Linked DNA regions of Canis lupus familiaris. The protein of the gene in region 1 binds, or shares a complex with, the protein of each later gene. Links are inferred from orthologs where the notes say so. Each region holds a gene or a part of one and is shown in the gene's direction. Other genes may lie near its edges. The genes, in order: NMT1, HPCA and AIFM3.

What was found.
Region 2: the proteins of NMT1 (region 1) and HPCA are in contact, whole or in part, in a crystal structure (PDB 7OWM), measured with the Homo sapiens proteins. The link is inferred for Canis lupus familiaris from reciprocal best matches to the Homo sapiens genes NMT1 and HPCA. Residues at the interface, in NP_066565.1 of Homo sapiens: Tyr180, Val181, Glu182, Asp183, Asp184, Asp185, Met187, Phe188, Arg189, Phe190, Tyr192, Ile245, Asn246, Phe247, Thr282, Ala283, Gly284, Tyr296, His298, Ser300, Lys310, Phe311, Ser312, His313, Tyr401, Leu403, Ser405, Tyr420, Gly468, Ile469; in NP_002134.2 of Homo sapiens: Gly2, Lys3, Gln4, Asn5, Ser6, Lys7, Leu8, Arg9.
Region 3: the proteins of NMT1 (region 1) and AIFM3 are in contact, whole or in part, in a crystal structure (PDB 6SJZ), measured with the Homo sapiens proteins. The link is inferred for Canis lupus familiaris from reciprocal best matches to the Homo sapiens genes NMT1 and AIFM3. Residues at the interface, in NP_066565.1 of Homo sapiens: Tyr180, Val181, Glu182, Asp183, Asp184, Asp185, Phe188, Arg189, Phe190, Asn246, Thr282, Ala283, Gly284, Tyr296, His298, Phe311, Tyr401, Ser405, Ile469, Gly470, Asp471, Asn473, Leu474, Leu495, Gln496; in NP_001373743.1 of Homo sapiens: Gly2, Cys4, Phe5, Ser6, Lys7, Pro8.

What each region holds. Positions count from the first base shown.
Region 1 is NC_049230.1:18,341,986-18,345,628, reverse strand, and holds part of NMT1 (glycylpeptide N-tetradecanoyltransferase 1), read left to right. Parts: intron 1-492; 5' UTR 493-582; intron 583-3,025; exon of another isoform or gene 3,026-3,306; intron 3,307-3,421; 5' UTR 3,422-3,468; coding exon 3,469-3,599; intron 3,600-3,643.
Region 2 is NC_049223.1:67,862,054-67,865,796, reverse strand, and holds the start of HPCA (neuron-specific calcium-binding protein hippocalcin), read left to right. Parts: upstream 1-1,081; 5' UTR 1,082-1,314; intron 1,315-1,658; exon of another isoform or gene 1,659-1,740; intron 1,741-1,911; exon of another isoform or gene 1,912-2,060; intron 2,061-3,743. UniProt on the Homo sapiens protein: Calcium-binding protein that may play a role in the regulation of voltage-dependent calcium channels. May also play a role in cyclic-nucleotide-mediated signaling through the regulation of adenylate and guanylate cyclases.
Region 3 is NC_049247.1:30,699,313-30,703,055, reverse strand, and holds the start of AIFM3 (apoptosis-inducing factor 3), read left to right. Parts: upstream 1-962; 5' UTR 963-1,015; intron 1,016-1,402; exon of another isoform or gene 1,403-1,506; intron 1,507-2,726; exon of another isoform or gene 2,727-2,859; intron 2,860-3,355; 5' UTR 3,356-3,498; coding exon 3,499-3,529; intron 3,530-3,743. UniProt on the Homo sapiens protein: Induces apoptosis through a caspase dependent pathway. Reduces mitochondrial membrane potential.

The sequences.
Region 1 (3,643 bases):
CTCTCCCCAGCTAAAAATCTTTCAGCAGCTTCCAAGAGTCTTCAGGATAAAACCCAACTCCCTTAGTGTGGTGTCCACATCCCTTCCTGGTCTGACTCCTGACTGCCTCTCCAGGCTCAACCTCCAAAATGCTCATATAATTCTCTCTGCAGGACCTCAACAGCACCCAACTCTGCCCTCCCCCCACCCCATTTGTCTGGTTCCCCTTTGAAAACTTAGCTCAACCATCTTTCCCCTTTCATCTTTTCCCCTGTAGAACCCCTTTCCCCAGGTTAAAGGTCCCTCCAGGCTCCTGCTACATCTGGTGTTCCCTCTCTCTCACACACTTGCCATAAATGTCAATCTGCATAGCTACCAACTTGTGGAGCAAAGCCAGGATGGGGACTGTGTTGTTCCATCCAGATTCTCTAGTTCCTGCCATAAAGCCTGGCAAGTGGTGAGTGCTTCAAGGTGTTGAATAAATGAATCACAACCTGGCCCATTCTTTCCTAGGCCCATTAGAAGAAATGGATCTCTGATACACTGGGACTACAGCAAAGGCCTACATCTGTGATGGATGTCATGAGAAAGTTTTTATCACAGGTAATGCTGACCTCCTGGGAAGGGAAATAATAATTTATTAGGTATTGACTGTCTCAGACACTTTACTGTTTTGCCTACATGGTCTCATTTTACAGGTGAGGACATTGAGTCTCAGAGAGGTTAAGTGGCTTGCCTAAGGTCACTTGTTAGGCAGAGGTAGAACCAGGATTTAGAACCCAGGAAGTTAAGACTCTGAAGCCTGTTCTCTTAATCACTATATTCTACTGTCTTCAGTAAAAACTGTGAGGGGATAAAAGATGTATCCACAGTCGGGAGTAAATTCCAGAATCTGCAAAAGTTTCACAGGCACATTCCTCAGCCACTCTTTGGGCCGTGCTGTACCCCACTGCCTTTGTAGAATGCTCCTGCCAGAATGGGGCGGGGGTAGGGTGGGGTAGAAAAAGCCAGCAGAGCTAGACGGGAGAATCCTGCTATTTTAATGTGATGAGGCACTCAGAAAGCTGGGAGTGTTTACCTTGGAAAAAGAAGTTTAGGGAACTAGAAATCAATTGAAGAACATGTAACAATTATGTAAAGGGCAAGGATTATATGCTTCCACATTAATTGCATAAGGCAGAACTTGCCCAACTTTCCACCAATGAAAACAGTCTGAAAGTGGAAGTCTCTCTGTTATGGGGGTAGGGAAAAGGAACAAATATGAGAACTCTTGGGATCCCAAAAAACCATCCATAGACCCAATTTAGGAAATTACACTGTACTACTTTTGATGATCATTCCCAACATCACAACATTCTCGGAAGTAAACTTACATACTAAAATCACATGTAGCAATATTCATTTTTCGGTGGTCATTTTTAAAAAGTATCACATATACTCAATTTCTTTTAAAAACCATAACATTTAAACTTTATTACAGAGAAAGAATGGATTCTACAAAATCGAAGTGAGCATTCTAACTTGAAAGATCCTGAGAGGGGGGATTAGTGCCTTTCAGGTGCCTTTGAACTCAAATTCTCAAAGGTGCTGGATTCCAGAACTTTGGACTGGTACTTGCATTCTGAGCTTGGGCATGACAGTCACATTGCCTGCCTATCTACCTCCCAGAAAGACTCTCCACTGAGCAAAAACTGCTCAGTTTGCAGTAAAATACACAGTAATACCTTTCTTAAGCTTTGAACTGCAAGAATGGCAGGGTCCACAGTGGACCCTATCATCACTCTTCCCTGGTCATGTTTCATTCACTTGTGTTCAACATCTGCCTATCAGTGAGAAAAGAAAAGACAGGGTTGGGAATTAGAATACCAGATGTGGATTCTGGTTCTGCTACTAGGTATCGTCATTTTTTTCTTTTTTTTTTTTGCAGGTGAGGACAAGTCCCAATTTTCTTCAAGTCCCCTTCCCTCCCTACTTTGCAAGGTCCCATGAGCTACAGCAGGTGGAACACGTACAAGTTAAAGCCATCTAACACACGGAATGCTTTATTATTATTATCTCTGACCTCTTCCTCAGGCCTGCAGCTGCATATAAGACATCATATTAATTGCGATCTTGGTCTTGGGAGAGATGAGTGTGGGTGCCAGCACTCAAACTGAGTGGGTGTAAGTCAGAGATAAATGACTGGGGATTATCTGTTGTTTCGGATCATATTTACTTCTATTCTTGCCACTGAGAAAAATGAAGCAGGACAATATTTAGCTCCCTTTTTGTTTCCCTGAGTCAAATGGGAAGGGTTTCTTCCCTGTTTCTCCCTCTTTCTACCTTGAGAGTTTCCTGATGGCAAAGACCAGTCCTTTTTTTGTGGGCACTGGTCCTCAAGACTCAGGTGCAATTACTCAAACACAGGGGTGAGACCCAAGGGATTGAAGCATTTAGTCAATGCTAAAACTAGATTAAGATGTCACAATTACTTTCTAATAACTGATTTTCTTGGGTGGATGAAACAATGGGGCTTTTGTAGTATCAAAGAATTCAGAGGGCCAAAGGGGCCTACAGATCCAAATTTGTACACTGATTTTGCCACTTATTTGCTATGTGACTGTATGATTGACCACCCAATCTGGGCCACAGTTCTTTGCCTGTGCCAAAGGGTAATAATAATACAAACGCACTTTCTCAGCTTGTTGAGAGGATTAAATGTGATATACGAAAAGCCTCACCCCAGAACCTGGCATAGAAGTGCTCATTAAAAAGTGGATATGGAGAATCCTAAGGGCACTGTGTGAGCTTCGTGGAGACCAAGAAGCGGCAAAGCCTGACAGAGCAGTCAGGGCTCCTGGCTCAGGATCAGTGCTCTGCGCACCACGATCCACCGCCTCTGGAGAGGCCTCGGATTCCCAAGGAAGAGGGGCCACCTAGAGTCCCGAGTGAGGAGAGGCGGCCAGGAGCCAACCTGGCTTCTTACAGCAAAGGCTCTCCAAGAAGGCCCGACGCATTTCGGGCTCCCGGTGGGTACCACCCGCAGGCCTCAGGCCTCATTACTTACCCGGGAATGGTAACGGTCCTTAACGGCAGCCAATAACGGCTCACCTGTGGCCCAGGCACTGACAAGGGCAGGCTGAGGTCAAACCTTGTATTTTGGCGCCTCATCCCGAAACCCTAAGCAAGGACCGAACTACAATTCCCAGCATGCCACGCGGCCGCCCCATCGCGTAGCGTCGGCCCCGCCAACCTTGGGGCCCCTCTTTCCTCAAAACGCGGCTGATCGCCCAGGACTTCCGGGTAGTGCTGGCCCCCAGCCAGGACAGCCCCCTTCATGATTTCTGGGTATTGTAGTCACTTTGTTCCGGTTTCGCGAGAATGAGGTGTTCCTCGTTACGGCTCCCTTCGCCACAAAAACTACAAAACCCAGAATAAACCGCAAGTTCCTTTCGTCCAATAGGAACCCCCTATGTAGCGAGGCGCGGAGGCCGGCTCTCGCAACTCAAGATGGCGGACGAGAGTGAGACAGCAGTGAAGCCGCCGGCACCTCCGCTGCCGCAGATGATGGAAGGGAACGGAAACGGCCATGAGCACTGCAGCGATTGCGAGAACGAGGAGGACAACAGCTACAGCCGGGGGTAACGATATCCTCGGAGTCCAATTCCCGTCCAGTCTCCCACAA
Region 2 (3,743 bases), on another chromosome or scaffold:
TTTCTCACGCCTCCACTGGGGGTCCCAACACCAGAGCCAAGACACACAGATGAACTGATGTTCTAGAGGGCCCAATTGGCCCCCATCCCTCCGCCTGGCTCCCCAGCTCCTACAGCTGAGACCTCCCCATGCTCATGCAGGAAGTACTAAGGCTAGACTTCTAACACCTAAACTGCCTGGTCTAGGACCTGGAGGTGGAGCTTTGGTCTGAGCCCTGGAGAGGCGGGGGTCTCCCAGCTGCTGCCACTGAACTGGCAGGAGCTATGCGGTCAGAACGCAAATGCTGTGGGCTCACCTTCAAAATAACCAGACCCATCTCTCTCACCCTGAAATGGTCCCCTGCTTCTACCCTGGCCCCCACTCCTCAAAGTCTGTTCTTGACAGAATGCCCTGAGTTAAGCTTGACCTGAAAGTCAGACCCTCACTCTGCTCAAAGCCCCAAGAGCTTTCCATCTCACCTGGAATAAAATCTAAAGTCTCTGGGATGGTCCTAAGCAGCACCACCACCCCAACCTCTGAACACCAACTTTTCCCCAAACACTTATCTAATACATCATAGGATTGACTTGTCTATTCTGTCCATTGTTTACTGCCCGCTTCTGTAACCCCACTGCCTAGAACAATGCTGGGCACAGAAATAGTGCCTGATGAACATTTGTGCCATGAATGGATGAGGCCATATGGAGTCAAGCCCAAGCCTTCCACTCACCAGCTGTGAGACATGGGGAAAAATCATTTAACCCCTCTGAGGGGTTGCTCATTTGTGAAGAGGGGACAGTAAGGACCACCTCCTAAAAATAAAGGAAAAACTCAAGCCAAGGATGTGGGGATTGTTGCAGAAGCTGGGGGAAGGAGGATGCAGCCTCCATCCTGGCAGGAGGAGCTGTGATGGGGGTCAGGGACTCGGGAGAAGGGCTGTCCTGTCTACAGGTGAGGTCCCTACGCACTTCAGAACCCCTCCAGACTGAAGATGCTCCCCAGTCCTCACCTAGGACCAGAGGCGGGGGAGGAAGGGTATGGGAGGAGCAATTTAGATCAATGTTGGGAGGTGGGATTCATTCTGAGAGGAGCCCAGGTAGGAGATCCCGGGCGGTAGGCAGGAGATGGGGGCGGGGCTCTCTAAGGCCGAGGTAGGGTAGGGGGCGTGTCTTTCCCCCGAAGACCTCCGGGACCGGAGGAGTGGGCGCTGCCCCTCGCGGAAGAGCCTCCTGCTCAATTAGTTCCCGAGTTGAGGCGCGGGGGCAGGGAAGGTGCCTATCCAACCGCCCAGGCTCCGGATTCCGCCCGCGGAGCGACGTGCAGCTCCGCGCACAGGTAGGGATGGGGCAGGAAGGCGGGCGGAGCTGCCGGGGTTGTCCCCGGTTCGGAAAGAGGTCTCTGGGCAGTGACCCCCCCGACCCCATTCGGGCTACCTGATCGAGATGCTGAGGAGATGGAAACCTCTGTCCTCCCCCGGCGGGCGCTCCCTCACGAGGGGGCCAGGGAAGTGAGGGCGTCCCTTCCCCTCTCCCGGGCAGGGACGGGGGCGGAGCCAAGCGCACCGCCCCCTCCCCCCTCCGGGGCTGCAGGGGAAGGGGAGGAACGGGGACCCCCCCAGGGGAGGGGCTCCGGGCGAACGCCGCGGGGCGTCTCCCTGGCAGTCCCTCCCCCCGCCCCCCGCCCGCCCCTCCGGCCGCCTCTGCCGCCGCGCGCCGCAGCAGCGCCGCCTTCCCTGCGCAGTCGGTGTCTCCGCGTCGCTGGGTGAGTGGGGGCCGCTCCGGCCGGGGCCGGGGGGTGCAGGGAGGGGGCAGCCCAGAGGGAGGGGGCCCCGTCGAACCTCTCCAGCCCCGCCGCTCGCGCGCCTCCCGGGAAGCCTCCCGCCCAGGGCGCGGGGGGGAAGGGGGCTCCCCCGGGGAAGGAGCGCGGCGCTCTCCAGGGTCCTGACCGCCGAGTGGCCAGCGGGGAGGAGTCGCGTTCTGGTCGCCTCGGAGCGCCCCCTCCAGGAGGGGCCCCGCGCCCGGCGCTCTGAAGCGTGGGCTCAGGGCGAGAACTGGGGAGAGGTTTGGAGAGGATCCCCGGGGGTGAGTTGCTCAGGTCGAGCCGTGGGTCCTTCCCATCTGGGGGACGAGGGAGTCTTTGCGGAGACAACAGATTCTCCTACCACCCTCGTTTCCAAGTCTCCCGATTGGGAGGGGCAGCTCTGAGGGTGGCAGGGAGGAGGGGGCACTGGAGGATCTCTCCTGCTCAATGCATCTCTCAGCCCCCGCCCCGATGACCCAGTTCCTTGGACCTTGAGGAGGGGACTAAGGGACACACTCCTCCGCCCCAGCCCAACGCATTTCCTCAGTCCCCCCCCCCCCCCCCACACACACACTTGTTCATTGGGTCCTCAGTCTGGGGCAGAAGAGGCTGCTTTAGAAAGGAGGGTCATCAACTTACAAAAACATGCATGTGACACACTGCTGAGGACACACACAAGTCCCCCAAATGGCCATTCAGGCACATCCCCCTCATACTGTGATGGGTGCATACCTAGTCACATGCACATGTATGGACTGAAACACACGGGAGTCAAAGGCAATGCAGAAACCAGGGGCATATGTGCATACATGAACGCTAGCACTCACACAGATGCTCATCCACATGTGCACAGAGCTTCATGCAGATGCACACACAAGGAACCCCTTCATCCTGTCTCACTCCCAGTGCCAGGCTGCGAGGAGGGAGTCACCTGCATGCTCCCCTACATCCCTGCCTGGAACTGCCTGGCTGTCTCCTCTCCCTTGCCTTCCCCTCAGCCATCCACACCCTAAACTCCTACATGAAAAGGTAAGTGTTGGGGGAGGGTTGGCTGGCCGGGGCTCTCCCTGGAAGAGAGGCCCCCCAGTAGGTCTGAGAAGGGTTGCGGCTCCCTCTCCTGGGACCTAGAAGCACCCCTGGGAAAAGAAAGATGGCAAGGGTTCCTGAGGGTTCCACGTGCAGCTGGCCATGTGAGAGGTGTCGGCATGGGAGTTGGCTTGTGATGGCATGTGTGAGACATGTGGGGTCGTGGGCTGGTGTCTTGATGCATAGGGTATGGGAGCTGTTCGTGAGTGGTGCCGTGTGTCAGAACATGTGAGTTGTGGAGCAGAGGGAATGCTGTCATGTGTGGAGGCATGGTGACCCATGGGTGGCTGTGCGCTGGTGTGTGAGTGGCATGGGAGCCAGTGTGTGGATTTGGTGAGTTGTGTACCACAATTTGTGTGTGTATTCATTTGTATATTGTTGTGCATAAGTCTTGTGGCACCTGGGTCCATGTAAATCATTTTTATTTAACACTTACATAGCACATATATGTGCAGGCATCACTGTAAGTGCTTCACATGTATTAACTAATTCAATCCCCATAATAATGAGGTAGGTACTATTACCCTCGCTTTACAGATGGGGCAGAGAGAGTATAAGAAACTCGTCTAAGGCCACCTAGCTGGTAAGAGGCAGAGCTGAGGTTTAAACCCAGGTGGTCTGGTTCTGTTGCCTAGGTTAACATCTACCTTACTTGGGCCTTTGTCAGGCACACATGTGTGGAAGAGAGAACAGGATAATAGGTCAGTGCCTGGGCTGCAGGTGTATTTTGTAGTGAGCAGACATATGTGAAGCAAAGAAGGAGCAGGAGGGAGGAGGGAGGACCAGAAGGCCTATTGCACCTCCCTGGGCAACTCTGGGAGTCAGCCCTATCACTCCATGGCTATGTGACCTGGGCCAGATCTCCTTACTTCCTTGAG
Region 3 (3,743 bases), on another chromosome or scaffold:
TGTTGTGGTTGTCCCCCTCATTTTGGGGGTAGGTCTTAAATAAAAGTCTTCCTCTGAAGGTGGATCTGCCTGGTGCAGGTGACTGTTACCCCTGTCACTTTTTGGTCATCCTTACAGGACAGCAAGGCCCAGAAAGGGGAGAAGGGGCAAAAAAGCCAACAGAAGGCACCAGATAGGACAGAGTTGGTGGGCTCTGATGTACTTAATGGTAGATGTGACATCGTTTCCCTGGAAAGTGTCATTCATTCATTTCCCACATAGTCACTGGATCCGTTTGCTGGAGGCACAAGCTCTGCCTGGACACAGTGCAAAGATGGAGACAATCGGGACCCAGAAACACGAGGTAACCAGGAGCCAGGATATCCCGCCTGATCAACTCAGTCTAGGAAGACTGGTCAGGGAGGGCTTCCTGGAAGAGGGGACACAACCCCAGGGCGCATCATGATTTATAGGGACCCGGGACGTTCTCCTGATATAATGACAGATGGGAAAAAGAAAATGTAATAAAATATAATTTAAGATAGACCTTATGAAGTGTGGGGACAGGGGAGGGAGCCAAGAGACCAAGGAGACTGAGCCCCCAAAGGGAGTCAAGGTACCTACGGAGCAGTCGCTGGAAGGGGATTTGGGGTTTCCTTCTTGGGGAGGCTAGACTCCCACTCCTCACGTCGCTCAGGATTCGAAAGACAGGAAAGAAGGAGGAACGAGCTCGGGACCCGGCGCGCCGCCCGGCTTGGCGCCCCTCTAGGGTCCAGGGGATCCCCGGGAAGCCAGACCCCGCTGGGGGCGTCCGCGGCCAGAAGGGCCCCGCCCCCGCCCGGGCCCGACCCCGACCCCGACCCCGACCCCCCGCCTACCCGCAGGGACCCGGCGGGGCGGTGCTGGGCGCCGCGGGCTCCCGGCCGCAGTGTCGCCGCAGCGCCGGCCCCGCCCCCGCCCGCTCCTCCCCCCCCCCCCCCCCCCCCGCGGCCGCGGCCCCGAGCGGCTCCAGAGCGGAGGCCCGCGCCGAGCCCAGGTGAGCGCCCGCCCCGGGGACCCCCCGGCCCCCGGTCCCGGGAGACCCCCTCACCCCCGGCCCTCGGCCCCGCCGCCCCGCACGCCGGCCCCGCGCGATGGGGGCTGGGGTAGGCGGCCGGGGAGGGGGACCAGCGGGGGCCGGAGCGTCTCGGCCCCTTCCCCGCTGCCCCCTCCGCGCTCGCCGCGGGGCCCTACTGTGTGCCCGACCCCCTTCCCGGCCGCCCGCGTGGGCGAGGGCGAGGGCGCGGGCGAGGGCGAGGGCGAGGTCCTCCCGCAGCGAGGGGACCGCACGTGCCAAGGCCCGGAGAGTGCGCGGGAGGCGGGCGCCGGCCCGGGGGAGCGGGTGAGGGCGGGCAACCCTGACTCCGTTGCCAATCCCAGGGAGGCTGGAGGCCACGGAGGGCCCCGACTGGAGAGCATCCCCCCATTTCTGCCCAGCCTGCGCTGGCCTGGGGGGCGGCGCCCAGGGGAACAGGACCCAGGCTCCTGGTGGGTACTTAGCCCTTGGGCGCTGTTACAACTTCTCAGCACTGGGTAGTGTGTGGGCAAGGGACAGCACCCCACACAAAATCCTGGGGTGCCTCCTGCTGCTCCACGGGCAAGAACCTTTGCCTTTGAGGCCGCAGGGCTCCAAGGGCCTGCACACAGTAGGCCTGGAGGCCTTTCAACCCCCAGCAAATCTCTTTCCAGACCCCAGGCCCCGGGAGGGCCTAAGACATCTGGGCGTCTGGGAAGGGAGAAACAGCCTAGATAGGGACCTGGCAGCGAGCGGAGGTCCCAACTTTTCTGACTCCTGCGGCCCAGCAGGTGAAGCCTGAGACCTGGCAGGAAGGAGGTGGGCAGGGCTGAGCCAGAGGAGAAGCCAGGATCTGGGGAGGGGCCCCCTTGCGCCCAGGGAGGGGCCGGGTGGGGCAGGTGGGAGCCAAGTCAGGTGTGGTGAAGGGGGAAACGGTAGCGGTATGCCCAAGTGGCCTTTGGGTGCCGCTGCCCCCTGAACTGTAGTGGGTGGGTCTAGCGCAGGTAAGATCAGGTGCCAGGCAGTAGACGATCCCTCCCCACTTTTCCTCCTGTCTTCTTGGTCCCCTTGCTCTCAGGCACCCACTCAAAGCCTTTGCTGGGATCTGGGCAAGACCAAGGAGGCCCCAGCCCCACCTCAAGTTAGACTTCAGGAAGAACTTCCAGGGGAAACACAGTGGGACGGACCAGGGGGAGGTCATTTGTAAACAGGGCAGCTACACCTTTGTCCAGAGCCTTCCAAAGTCCAGTCTATAAGCTGCATCTTCTGGAAGGCCCACCCTGTGGCCATGAGGACTCTTTGGCTGCAGGGATCTCTTTGCTGACCCGGTGACCTCTCCCCCAGCCCTGTCTCTTGCAGGGTGTTATGGGGGCTTCCTGGGTCCCTGCCCATCTTGAAACTAACCAAGGGGGGTGGGAGGCCGCCTGGTTGCCCCTGCCTGCTGCTTGACCTTGCCAAGCCCTTGGCCTCTCAGTTTCTCCATCTGCTGTTGGTTGTGATCTCAGCACCGCAGCCCGGAGGGCATTTGTGGAGGGGGGGCTGCGTCCAGGGTGGGAGCTCATGGCTGCTGGGCATGGGCAGTGTGCCTGGCCTCCCGTTCCCCCAACCCCATCAGGCCTGGGCTGGCCGCCCACTTCTGTTCACCATGGAGCTGGGTTTCCCTGGGGACCAGTGGACTGGCCCAGCCGCACCCCCCCAGTCTCTCCTGGCCTCACTCACACTGGGAGGAGGGGTGGAGGCTTGGACCCCTGCCCCCCCTTGCCCTGCCTTCCAGGGCTGGGAAGCCTCCATCCAGGAGGAAGAAGCAGTGGCTGCCCCTGGAGGAGGTGGGTATCCAGGGGCTGCCAGCCAGGGTGGGGGCCAGGGCCCAGAACTAAATGTGACCCCCATTGTAGGAAGGAGAAACCGCAGGATCAGGAGGGCTCTGATCTGCCTGAGGAGACCTAGGGTCCGACCCCAGGCGTGGTGGCCTCCCTGAAGAATGGAGAGTTCCAGGGCTCCCAGGCTGCTGGATTTCCAGTGGGCTCCCGAAATCAGGATTTACCCAACAAGGCAGCTGTGGCCCTGGACCTGAAAGAGACGCTGAGATCTGAGCAGAGGGCCCCCTTGGCAGTAGGCACAGCCCACAGGCAAAGATGGGAGGGGAGAGTGAGGGTAGCGAGCCGGAGGGCCTCCAAAGGGAGGTGCCTGCCAGGGTCCCCTACATATGCAGTGTTTCCCAGCTCAAATGTGCGCGTCTTCTGGAAGCCCTCCCCCAGTGTCTCTCCCCACAACCCCCATCAAAGCCCTGGTCCCTACAGACGCCCCTTGTCTCCCCTGCAGGTCCTGGAGGCAGCTCCAGCAGGAATGGCAGCTCCAGCATCTCTAAGGGCCATGGGGAGTCCAGCCCCACCTGGGGCACCCTAGGCCTCCCACAGCCTTCCATCTGCGTACCTGCCCCCCCATTGATCTGTGGGCCACTCGCCATGGGTGGGTGCTTCTCCAAGCCCAAGCCAGGTACCTCCTCTCTTCGCGCCTCATTCTTCCCCCTCCCTGCCCCCTCCCTGCCCCCTCCCTGCCCCCTCCTCCTCCCTGCCTCCTCCTCTCTCCTCCCTCCCTTCTCCAGCCACCTTCCTCCTCCCCTTCCCCCCTCCGCCTCCAAAGTAGGTCAGGCTGGGCGGCAGCCTGCTCTGAATATTAATTCCCTGCAGGCAGGAGGGGGTGGGGGGCC